2 linked regions of the Kluyveromyces lactis genome follow. The protein of the gene in region 1 binds, or shares a complex with, the protein of each later gene. Links are inferred from orthologs where the notes say so. Each region holds a gene or a part of one and is shown in the gene's direction. Other genes may lie near its edges.

Region 1 (6,488 bases):
AGAAATGGATGACAGCTATGTTGATTCTGACTCGCAAGGAAATCTTGATATCAATGCTGATCCAGGCGCTGCAGAACACGATCAATTGGTTGACTACGAAACTGAACCATCGGAGGCACCTTCAGGCATTGCCACCCCAGTGCCAAGAGGTGAAGAGGATTCAAACTGTTCCATGATGAATTCTCATACCGCTTTCAGGGATATTGATGTGTTTTCGTACAATTATTTCTTTGGAAGAACAGCAGCTGAACGTGCGCTTGATCCCAGATACTCAAAAATACATCATTTGAGACACGAGATTGGTTTATTCTTACACAAGCTCTTCAAATTTTTAAATCAAAATTATGAGAATTCAACATCCGTATTCCAGACTTTATTACATGGTTTGAAGGTCTGGTTTACTGATGTTGGGCAAGAAACTATATTCATTGATGATCCAAAGGCGTCGATATCTGTGGAATTCCTAGAAAACATACAAGACATAGCACACTGGGAGGAACCGTTCCTTCCATTTACAAGAACGTATCTCGCAGCTGACTGTCAGGAACTTCACCAGTCTAGACTTACCTTATATTCAACTAATAGGAAACCATCGAAACTGGAATTGAAACTTTTGAATGATGTCATTTCTTTATCTCTATCGGTGTATCCAAACATTCACAGACCCGCACAGCAATGCATGATTCATGTTATGAAACAGTTAATTGGTTCATATTCGATAATCGTAAGAAAGGTTTTCAAAGCATTCGAAGCTGCACTTGACAGTACTGATGCCGAAGCTTCTAAGAAATTGGAGGTTTTGATCCAGGTGTTATCCATGAAGAAAATACAGAGAAAGATGATGTCAGATTATAAAAATCTTGAGAAAATGCTCACTCTTTTATTGCGTGCATCTCGTCTCGACTCTTACTTCTTAGTCTCACTTTGTGATCAAGTCATGGAGAGTGTGTCGGGCCTAATCAAAATTCCATCTGCTGTATGCCTATTTGACGAATCTGCGATTGATTGCCTAAAACCAAATGATGAAACAATAGATAAACAAGTTGCCGTTGTTAAAACAGCTAAGGATAGGAAACGAAAGGAGTATTTCTCGCAACTCGAAACCTTGCATATCAATCTTGTTGATTTCCAAAGGAAAGACCCACAGTTGCGTTGGATGTCTATTTGTCACATATTGCGTATAGTGCAGGTCATTCAAATGAATTTAGAGATTAAACCTAACCAGGAGGTGTTAATTCAAAGTTTCGAGTTAACGAAGACAAAACATCCATCTCTCATATCGAATTGTATGGTAACAATGTTAAATGTTTGTAACAAAATGATTTCCCTTGGGAACTATAACTACGATATCGATTCCACCTATCGCACAGACTATGTGAGACAATATGTGGAATACTTGGACACATCAAAACCAAACTTTGAGGAAGAATACTTTAAAGAAATTAATAACGTTGAAAATCCTAACTTTTTTGTGGACTCCAAAGCGTTTGTTGGTTGGTTATGCCGAGGAAGGCCTATGGGCGTTGTCAAAGCTGAAAATCAGATTCCATTCAACCTTAAGCCCGAAGATATGGAAATAATGAATAACTTTGGTAAGCTAATAACAAAGGAGTGGTTGTTAGATATGTGCAACATTTTCATACGGTCCAATGAGGAGCAAAGCAGCTTTAGCACGAATAGATTGAGTCTATTTGGAATCTTTGTTCACTTGATTTCTAATAACTGTTGTTCTATGAAGTACGAAGATATCCTTGACATTTGCGAAGAGATATATGAAAAAGACGATAAATCTTCAATGATTGCTTGTAGTGAGATCATTTCGGGGCTATTGTTCAGTTTGAAGTATACGGATGAGAAAAACTTACAGAAGTTTGAAAAGTTCTTAGAAAGGTTTTTGGGTAAATGGTTAGACAACAACTATAATGCCACAACAACGGATATCTGGAGCATTGTAGCTTGGTGGGTACCATCTTTCATTGATTTGAGAAGATCTGCTCAAATATACAAAAGGTTCTTGACCGTGGATGGATTGTTTGATGTTAAAAGTGAATCTTCATTAGAACTTTCTGGTAAATTGATAATAGTCACACAGGCAATTTCAGATGTAGGTTTCAAGATGGGTTCTGTTGAAAATTTACTCGATCAATTAGTCTTTGACCATCCTTCCGACGTGGTTCGTCGTGAAGTTGGTAAACTTTTCTCAGTTATCTTCTACATAAAGGCAAATGCTCATCGTCCAAACGTGAAGTCTCTTCTCGAAACGGGGGCATCTGGTCCAATTGAGATCAGAGAAATCCCAAGCTGGTTGAGAGAGAGGGCTATTAAAATCTTCAACGAAATTGAAAAAGAAAGATTGTTGATCAAGGACCTACCCGCTCAGGACATCTTGAAGACTAGGTATTTCTACTTGGCATCAACTATGTTCTATTGGGCTGCTCATTTAATCAATACTGGTGCTAGAGTGTGTCTGGGTCCATTTGCTAAATGTTATTTGGCACCCTTCTTGATGAAGTTAGACAGAATGAGAGATGTTTGTAAAATGGTCAACATTAAGGTTTACAGTATTTACGTGGAACTTGCATACATTCCAATAAGCCGCACGTTGTTACCTGACATAATTTCGATCTTGGATGACACAGATTTGACTAGCTCTCATGAATTACGTGTGAATTTGACTTTAGCAGAGAAACTTTTCTCCACACAATCGTTGGTTATGGACCATGCTGGTAAAGTGAAGATCTTAGAGTTCGTTTTGGACAAATTGTTCTGTAAGAGTTTTGTAGAGGTTCGTCTCAAGGCTTCCTATGTCCTTGCCGGTATCGTGCATAACATATCTTATGATACCGATACTTTGCACACTCTCTTGGAAAACTTCAAGCGTCAACTTGGTTCATATACTTTCGAGGAGAAAGCTGCACTCTCCAAATCCAACACAGATATTCACGGTGCGATCTTGGGTCTCGGTGCCATCATCGAAGCATTCCCGTACGTTTCACCGTTACCAAATTGGATTCCAGAGAATATGGCACTACTAGCGTCCTGGGCAAGAACAAGCGGTATGTGCGGTGCTGATGCAAAGAACATCATCTCTAGATACAAGAAAGTTAGAGCAGATACCTGGCATTTGGACAGATACCAGTTCACCTCGGAGCAATTAGAAGATATGGAAGGTGTTCTTTGGAGGAGTTACTACGCCTGAGAAGTTGCACAATCGACACAGATGACCCACAAGCTGCGTATGCACATGAATATATATGTACATCTACAAGTATAAATCGTATAATTTAACTTGACATTGGGTATGCCTATCACCATATACGAATTCGATCAGTATCTAGATTTTGGACAAATATTGTTTGAAAGGGTGAAAGCAGGATAGCCATCACGAAAGGCACTAACCCAAACACTTTACGGCCGAGCTATTAAAACCCAGATTCTGTTGACCAGATATAACCAGCTCGCCACTCCTCCAATATATCGAGATAAAATAACAGTGTTGAACTGTGATATCAATTTTTTTCACTTAATTGAAGCGTGAAGGAAACAAGGGAGATTGAAACTATAATGTCTGGATTAAGAACGGTTTCTGCTAACGGCAGCACGAATAAAAACTATGATTCTGTCATGAAGATTTTACTTCTAGGTGATTCCGGTGTAGGTAAATCATGTCTTTTGGTTCGTTTTGTTGAAGATAAGTTCACACCAACTTTCATCACCACAATCGGTATCGATTTCAAGATTAAAACCGTAGACATCAATGGGAAACGTGTGAAGTTACAACTTTGGGATACTGCTGGCCAGGAACGGTTCAGAACCATCACAACCGCATACTACAGAGGTGCCATGGGTATTGTATTGATTTACGATGTTACTGACGAAAGAACTTTTGAAAACATCAGACAATGGTTCTCCACTGTTAACCAACATGCTAGCGAGGATGTAGTAATGCTGCTAGTCGGAAATAAAAAGGACATGGATACAAGAACCGTGTCTTACGAACAAGGTGAAGCTCTTGCTAAGGAGCTAGGGATCCCATTCATTGAAGCCAGTGCCAAAGACGACACCAACGTCAGCGAAATCTTCTTCACATTGGCCAAGTTGATCCAAGAAAAGATCGATGATGGTAAGATGGAAGGAAAGGCTGAAAAGGAGGGAAATGTAAGCATTCGTGGCTCAGGCTCTTCAGGCTCCAAGTCCAATTGCTGCTAAACCACAGATCAGAGCGTACAATAAGAAATAACAACCTATGCATTGGCTTTGTGTGTGTACATATATATATATATTCAAATGGTATGTATTAGAAAGTTCAAAGGTAACTTTACACGACCATTCCAAATCAGGTGATTTACACGTGACGTAAATAATCACATGACCATCTCCACGTGCCACTCAAGATCAATATAAAATTGCCCAACTTTCCCAATATAAGGGCATCGATGATTATATAAAGAGTGCATTAGAAGGAAATGCAAATAAAGAAACAGATATAAGGATGGACTTAAAGATTTTATTTAGCCAATAAACAGTTGGGTAGATTTCTATTTTCTTGTTCAGCTTCCTTGTATCTTGAATTGAGAAGTGTAATCCTGATCACCATCTTCAGCTTTATAACCAGGAAGGGTTGCTGTTTATTATAACCCTTATAATATTGTCAAAAGAGGGATTTGGTCTTTTTAAATTCAAGGCACAATGCTATTTGGTGTGAAGCTAGCTAATGATACTTATCCCCCATGGAGGGATTCTTATATCGATTATGAGAAATTGAAAAAGTTGTTAAAAGAGTCCGTTATCAGAGACTCTGAAATGTTCAATGGTTCTTCTTCTGGCCGTGGGAAGAAGGGGAAGAAGGGGAAGAGTAATGTAGATGAATATTGGAGTGAGAAGGATGAATCCAAATTTGTTTCCGCGTTGGATGAGGAGTTGGAGAAAGTTTATGGATTTCAAACTTCTGCTTACAATAAGATTATGAATACCTTGAATAGGCTTGAAGAAGAAACTGAAAGTGAAGAGAATCTACATACGATTGATTTTCAGGCGTTCCATCAACAATTGGAAGAATGTTTGAGTCAGGCCCAGGAATTGGACAATTTCCAACGTTTAAATTTCACTGGTTTCACCAAGATTGTGAAGAAACACGACAAATTGCATCCAGGTTACCCATCTGTCAAGTCATTGTTACAAGTGAGATTAAAATCGTTACCGTTCCATTCGGAAGAATACTCTCCATTGTTGTACAAGATCTCTTATCTATACAACATCTTGCGTAACAACTTCTCATCTGTATCGAAATCTTTGGCTAACTCATCAAAACTTTCCTCTATGCCAAAGAACGAACAGATGTCTACACAATCCTTCAAATTCTGGATTCATCAAGATAATTTAATGGAAGTGAAAACTAATATCTTGAGACGTTTGCCAGTGTTAGTCTATGCTCAAGCACCCTCTGAGAACGAAGACTTGATCGATAGATTGGAGTCTAATCTTTTGAATGACGACGGTGGTCCAGCAATGTCCAGTTCCAGTAACGAAACCGATGTGGGTCATTTGAACAAAAGTTTTGAACCTGTCATCTCCACGCTATATTTCGATAACGAGTTCTTCGAATTGTACAACAACAAGTTATTGAAAACCAACTCTGCTCCAACTTTGAGATTGAGATGGATTGGTAAATTGAACGACAAGCCGGACATTTTCCTTGAAAAGAGAATGTTTGTAGACAACGAGGATTCTTCTTCGACCGATTTCGATGAAACAAGGATTAAGTTGAAACCAAAATTCATCAATGGATTTATTTTCAACGGTGATACCGAATATAAGGAAATGATGCTCAAGAAATTGAAGGAATCCGGCTCAAGCAACGATACTACCAAGAAATTGGAAAACAATTTCGATTCCATCCAACAATTCATTCTTGAAAACGAATTACAACCAGTTCTAAGAACTTTATACCAAAGAACTGCATTCCAAATTCCAGGTGATGACCGTGTAAGAATCACTATCGATTCAGATATCCTTTACATCCGTGAAGATTCCTTTGACAAGGACCGTCCAATCAGAGACCCTCATCACTGGCACAGATCTGACATTGATTCTAACGTGGCCCATCCATTGAAATTGGTTAGACCTGGCGAATACGCTAAGTTCCCATACTCTGTTATGGAAATCAAAGTGAAGACATCTGCGTCTTCTATTGCCTCATCCGAGAATGCACTAAGCGTTCTAGCCCATGGTGGTAACCAAGTGAAATGGATCGCTGATTTAGCCAATTCCCATTTGGTGAAAGAAGTGCCAAAGTTCTCCAAATACGTACAAGGTGTGGCCTCATTGTTCGGTGACGATGAAAAATTGGATATGTTACCATTCTGGTTACCAGACTTGGAATTCGATATCAGAAAGGATCCAAACCAGGCCTACGAGGAAGAGAAGAAGAAATTAGAAAGACAACAGGAGCATGTCGCCAAGATGGACAAGATGAAGAGATTGTCAGT
Region 2 (6,690 bases), on another chromosome or scaffold:
CAACTGTTCAAAATGACCCTAAACCATTGAATCCTGAAAGAAAAACTGCCATACAAAACGTTTTACAAAGAAGCTTGCAAAAAACAGAGCAAGATCTTCTTAATGAGTCTCGCAGACTTGGAACTGCGGTTGGTTCCAAGAGTAGGTTGAAACTCTTGAGATCAAAAATGGAAGATATTGAGAACCAAGCAAGAGAGCTTGAAATGACAAATTTTGCTGATGTCAAACCCAAGCAGAACCAGAAATTTAAGGAGCAAGTTAAAGGTCAACAAGCCACAAAATTAGCTGAGTTAAGGAAAAAGCTAGCAATAATACAAAATGAAAGCAACGATATAACAAAGTTCAATATTGAGGCCAGAGTGAATGAATTATTCCAAGACAAAAAGTTAGCTGCCTTGGATAGATTGAAAGACTTAGAGAATAAATACAATGGTTTCCACATTGACTTTGCAGATGACCCTGAGTTAAAAGAGCTCCTGACGCAGTCCAGTAATGGCGGACCTTCTTTGGATCCAACAATTGTACAAAGAAAGGTAGAAGAAATGAATTCAATTATTGATGAACTCAATGCATTGAAAGAAGAAATGAAAAATAGACCTAAAACCGGCTCAAGTTCATCATCTTCGTCATCGTTGTCTTCGGCATCTTCCTCTTCAGAAGATGGTTCATCACAATCACAAGCATCTCATGGGTCGGATATTGTATCCAATGGATCATCATTCCTTGAATCATTATCTCAAAAGTATTCAACTGGACAACAGACCGCCACGTCTACGAATGGTGGTCGTGTGGGACGCGAGACTAGGTATCCTGGAAGCGGTTATCATAGAAAATCGTTTTTGAATAGGTTAAAGAATACTACAGTGAACCCAACAGCGACGAGCGAACATCTGCCACCGTTTTTGACTGAGCTAAAATCAAAAGTTAAAATGACAGATGACATCGATGATGTCCCTGTGGGTATTGGCATATCTGTATCTCCTGGTGCATCGTTAAAGAGTACTGAAAAACCAGTCAGTCAATTTACAGAAAAACCCATTTTGACAGATGCTCAACAGGGAAGCGACAAGATCTCGAATGTGATCTTGAATGATAAATATTCGCCAACGACAATGCAGTCTGAAATCGGGGATTCCGAATCTATTGAAGCGAATCCAACAACAACAATCGTATCCGCTGCTTCGCCACCGCCACCACCACCACCGCCGCCACCACCTCCCTTACCGGTATCATTAGGTGGAACTCTTACTGCAGTACCATCTCCTCTCCCTACTGCATTATCCCCTGGTATTGCTCCTCCCCCTCCTCCTCCCCCTCCCCCACCTCCACCATTTCCATCGGCAAACACACCCAAAGCGACAGTCACAAGTCCCTTACTACCGCAATCACCATCTCTCTTTGAAAGGTATCCTCGTCCCAAGAAGAAGCTCAAACAATTACACTGGGAAAAAATTGACAATGCTGGGGATTCTATTTGGAAAAATGCTCAAGCAGAAAAGGTTGCTGACGATCTATTCGAAAGAGGTGTATTAAGTCAATTAGAAAAAGCGTTTGCTGCCAGAGAAACCAAATCATTAAAAGGAAAGTCTAAGGAAGCAAATGAAAAGATTACCTTTTTATCGAGAGATGTTTCCCAACAATTTGGTATTAACCTACATATGTTCTCCAACCTCGATGTTAAAGATGTTGTTGGGAAGGTAATGAAATGTGATAGAGAATTCCTATCTACTCCTAGCGTAATAGAGTTTTTGTCAAAGCCTACCATAATTGAAGTAACGAATAATTTGGCACGATATTTCAATCCTTACAGTACTGATTGGGAGGGAGTGACATCTGTTGACGATGCAAAACCCCCCGAAAAAGATCCTAATGAACTTCAACGTGCAGATCAACTATATGTTGAATTTATGATTAACTTACAACCGTACTGGGGGTCTCGTATGAGAGCAATCACTATGATAACTACTTATGAAAAAGACTATTCGGATTTGGTCACTAAACTAAGAAAAATTGATAGAGCAGTTCAGTGCATCGAACAATCTGAAAGTCTCAGACATGTTTTCGATGTTATTTTGGCAGTTGGTAATTATATGAATGATTCTTCAAAGCAAGCTCAGGGGTTCAAGCTAAGCACCCTACAAAGATTGACCTTCATTAAAGATGAAAAGAACAGTATGACTTTTTTGAACTATGTGGAAAAGATAATTCGTGAAAATTATCCCGAATACAGCCATTTCGTGGAAGAGCTTGAGCCTATTTTTAGCGTAACAAAAATATCCATCGAACAGTTGGTAACTGATTGTAAGGAATTTTCACAGTCAGTAATTAACGTTGAGCGTTCTATTGAAATTGGAAACCTAAGTGACCCTTCTAAATTCCATCCGTTAGATCGTGTTTTAAATAAGGTAGTACCGGTTTTACCTGAAGCTAGAAAGAAAGCTGATCTTCTAAGCGATGAAATCAAATTAAGTTTGCTGGAATTTGAAAATCTAATGAAGAAATTTGGCGAAGATGCCAACGACAAGTTCTCTAAAAACTCTTTCTTCCAAAAGTTTGCAGATTTCATTACCGAATTCAAGAAAGCTAAAACTCATAATGTCAAACTGGAAGAAGAAGAACGTGCTTACGAAAGGAGAAAGAAAATGATTGAAGATCAACAACGGAAACAACAGGAGGCAGATAGTAAGGCAACAGCAAAAAATTTAAGCACTTCGCAAGAACCGTCTGATGATAGGGACGATATAGAGAAGCTTTTGGATAAATTGAAAAATGCAGCTCCTTCAAAAGGAGATCCATCTAGTACTCGTAAACGTGCATTGGCTAGAAAGAAATTACTAGATGGTAAATCCGGGGCATCAATTTTTGATAACATCACTGCTGATAGTACTATCGAAGCTTTCGTGGAACAAAATAGAACGCTTACCGAATCGCCTACTGCTAAAAAATCGGCCAGCCTTCCTGAAACTGAAAGCTTGTCGTCATCAAAACAAGACCCTGCAGATAGAGCAAGGAATTTATTACTAGAATTAAGAGGCCCTGACGAAAGAAAAGACGCTTCTCCATCCCCAATCAAAGCAAAGGACAAGCTTAGGGATCTGAAAAAAAAAGATTCTTCTGTGAAAGTAGACCAACCTAATAAACTACAATTTGTTGGAAGCCTAGAAGTTGGACCTCATCCTAAACCGTTATCGCCAACCCAAGATTTGATGGACACATCGAACTCATCGGAAGATGAGTTTATTGATGCTTAAAGACTACATAATACTCATTTCAGCATTTATTTAATAACTACAATATGTGTATACTTGCATAGACATAATTCGTATACCGAAATTGACATTTTCATTTTAAAACCGGGTAATGAATTTAGTTCCAATGTTTGATGAAATCAAGAATGTAATATATATCAACCAAATTACCAGAGGACTAATGAAATACATAAATACTCGCCTGTGTAATTTACTTCAATAAATGAATCACTGATTTTGCTAACAGAAAGTACTTGCTACAAGCAAAGCTGACGGTAGCCTTATTTTTAGAATGGCGGATCAAGAAGAGTCAAAGCGCATATCTTTGCAAGTGACATCTTTATCTACGCAATTAATCGAAAGCATTGATAAACAATCCCAATTAGAAGAACAGTTACTAGTGGCTAAGAAAACCATTTCCACTCAGCAGAATATTGCGAACTCATATAATGAATTGAAGCAGGAACTACAATCTTTGAAATTACAATACGAAACCGATAAGACAAAATTCAAGAAACAGGAAGAAATTTGTGCTGATGCCGAAAAGAAAGTGGCTACATTGAACCAAGAAATTGAAGACTTAACCGCTTCTTTATTCGATGAGGCTAATAACATGGTAGCAGATGCAAGGAAAGAACAAAATGCTGTAGAAATATTAAACTCGAAGCTCAAAGAGCAGTTGAAAGAAAAGGATTTATTACTTGATACATTGTCAATGCAGTTAAAGAATCTCAAAAACGTACTCTACAAGTTCGAAAATGATTTCAATTCTTCGAAGAACGTTTCACTTTCAGATTCTGCGACGTCCTCTACCACATCAATTGATAGATCAACCACCAACCTAACCTCAGTAAATGATAATTCATTGTCGTTTCAAGGCGTGTTATTTTCCCCTCTTCTGCATTCGTTAAGGTATGACGTTCCTCTATACACAGAATATTTGAAATTTCTTGCTGTGCTACCACAATGCGAAAACCTTCAACAAACCACTTCGGAATCGAAACTATTAAGGAGATTAATAAACTATGAAATAAGTCCCGTCTTGCGACTTGATAATGCCTCCGGAGTAGGATGGCTTGTAAAAAGAAATTTAATGAATTTAATGATGGAAGGACTGGTATCAATCGAGCCGATTAGTGGAATAAATGAAACATATCGTACAGGATATAGTTCTCCAAGTATTCCCGACTCTCCAGAGGTCGAAAACAAAGATTCTCATTTGTTTAGCCGTCCGGTGAATTCTCCGCCTGTTGCTATGGTAGAACCATGTGCTTTCTGTGGTGAAAATAGAAACGACATCCTTGAACATGGAAGACTTTATATCTTCAAAACATATCAAAAGCTCGAAAATGGTAAAAATGAGTTAACAAATCAATTTCCCGTGTGCCATTACTGCTTGTTGAAATTAAGACAAGTTTGTGAAATTTTCGCATTTTTGAGATCATTGAGATCTGGTGCTTGGCATCTAGAAAAAGTAGCTTTGGCATCAATACATCAAGGCAAGGTCAATGCTTACTCCGAGGTAACTAAAGCATCAAGGCCGAAAATGAAATCCAAAAGATTAAGTATTTTCCAAGGATTAAAGCAATCGCAATCTTCAACTCCTATCATAGAAAATGGTCCACAATTTGCCGACAAAAACGGACTACCAACAACCAATATCCAGAGGTCATGGGCCCGTCTTTCACAACTACGAGCATCTTTACAATGGTCGCATATTGGCGTATGGTCTCTCGACGAATCGGTAGCTACAGATATTGCCCCATCAACAGATATTTCCAAAGCTAAAAGTTTTGAAGAAGAACAAGGTCTAGGCATTGCCTCAAACAATATCCCTGTCCCTATAACACATGAGGAGGATGAAACTTTCGATTTTGAAGCGGATACCGCAAACTCTATCAGTGTGGATGAAACAGTCAATGGTATACGTCACACAGATCAATCATCGGATGATATTGGCGATCATAATGAGAAAACTAATGAGAAGACTGCCACGGATTTACAAGGAAAGAATGAAGAGAAAAAAAGCAAAAAAATTGAACCACAGCATTCAAGACAGCCCTCACAATCATCCACAGTATTAAATGATAACAAAGAAAGTGCCGAATCAGCTCATGATACCCATGCATCATCTGAAGAGCCAAGTGATTTATTGGAAACTTATCAAGATCTGTCCGCTGATCTTGAACCCGAATCTGAAAAGCCTGAAAATTTGGATAATTCTGATGAAGAGGATAGTTTTAACGATGCAAAGGATGTCGTCAACTAGTGTCATGCACAATCTTTCCTCCTACCTTGCATACTTTGTAACAATAAATACCTGATGTAGAGAGTTTCATTTCAATGCACGTGATTTGTCAAATTTCGTCATCCTTATCATACCCAAAAGACTAAGCACCAAATTTATATATTGCAAGTATTTCTTCTTGCCTTAGATAAAACAATATGGCTGTAAGAAGGTTGTAGTAGCAAACGGAGCGCACGATAGTTGAACCGCTTATGGCCTACTTTGTGAATTATAATTAATACAGATGCAGATAGCCGCTGATAAAAAGTATGCAAAACTAGCTCTGTCTGATAAACAATCGAAGAATGAACCAAATCCGTTTGAACTGGAGTTAACGTCATTTGATGACACCGCGAAGACAGCTGACAGCGCAGTTGACCAAAACATTTTTAATGTTAATGAAGAAGACCCATTAACAGATGACATCTATTTATCTAATGAGGCAAAATCTAACAGGTACATGGCTTTCATGAACATGGCGAATAGTATTTTAGGATCAGGAGTGATAGGGCAACCTTTTGCGATGAAAAATTGCGGAATCATCGGCGGATTATTTGCGACCATATTAATGTCCATACTGGTTGATTGGACCATTCGTCTGATTGTGATCAATTTGAAATTAACCGGTAAGAGTACTTATCAAGCATCTGTAGAAACAGCAATGGGTCAATGGGGAGGACTTTTGATTTTAGTATCCAACGGCCTATTTGCATTTGGTGGTTGCGTTGGGTTTTGCATTATCATTGGAGATTCAATACCTCATGTTTTGAGCGCCTTTTTCCCTTCTCATACAGATCTTTTTCATCGGAATGTCATTATCACATTGGTGACTTTGTTCATATCGTTTCCGCTATCTCTTAACAGGGATATCTCCAAGCTTTCAAAGACATCAATGCTTGCACTTTTAGGACTTATTGCAATTGTTATTATCATAGTTGTTAAAGCTCCACTAGTAAGCGGCGAATATAAAGGAACTTTCCATTTACATCAGTTGTTTATTACACCAAGGATATTTCAAGGCATTTCTGTGATTTCATTTGCGTTAGTATGCCATCACAACACGAGTTTTATATTTTTCTCGTTGAGAAATCCCTCTTTAAAAAGATTTAATCAGTTGACACATGTCAGTTTAATTCTTTCTTGCATCGTTTGCTT

What was found. Proteins that work in one complex are often made in the same cells at the same time.
Region 2: the proteins of SEC4 (region 1) and SEC2 are in contact, whole or in part, in a crystal structure (PDB 2EQB), measured with the Saccharomyces cerevisiae proteins. The link is inferred for Kluyveromyces lactis from reciprocal best matches to the Saccharomyces cerevisiae genes SEC4 and SEC2. Residues at the interface, in NP_116650.1 of Saccharomyces cerevisiae: Lys22, Lys44, Phe45, Asn46, Pro47, Phe49, Ile53, Ile55, Asp56, Phe57, Trp74, Thr84, Ile85, Ala88, Tyr89, Arg91, Gly92; in NP_014127.1 of Saccharomyces cerevisiae: Asp95, Asn98, Lys99, Val101, Glu102, Asp103, Thr105, Ala106, Phe109, Asp110, Ala112, Asn113, Val116, Ala117, Arg120, Lys121, Tyr124.

The regions. Positions count from the first base shown.
Region 1 is NC_006041.1:1,071,735-1,078,222, forward strand, and holds SEC4 (Rab family GTPase SEC4), read left to right. Parts: upstream 1-3,564; coding exon 3,565-4,209; downstream 4,210-6,488. Other genes in the region: proteasome activator BLM10, read left to right, coding at 1-3,199; VTC2 (vacuolar transporter chaperone), read left to right, coding at 4,690-6,488. UniProt on the Saccharomyces cerevisiae protein: Involved in exocytosis. Maybe by regulating the binding and fusion of secretory vesicles with the cell surface. The GTP-bound form of SEC4 may interact with an effector, thereby stimulating its activity and leading to exocytotic fusion.
Region 2 is NC_006039.1:193,094-199,783, reverse strand, and holds SEC2 (guanine nucleotide exchange factor SEC2), read left to right. Parts: upstream 1-3,540; coding exon 3,541-5,517; downstream 5,518-6,690. Other genes in the region: formin BNI1, read left to right, coding at 1-3,251; AVT2 (Avt2p), read left to right, coding at 5,780-6,690. UniProt on the Saccharomyces cerevisiae protein: Guanine nucleotide exchange factor for SEC4, catalyzing the dissociation of GDP from SEC4 and also potently promoting binding of GTP. Activation of SEC4 by SEC2 is needed for the directed transport of vesicles to sites of exocytosis.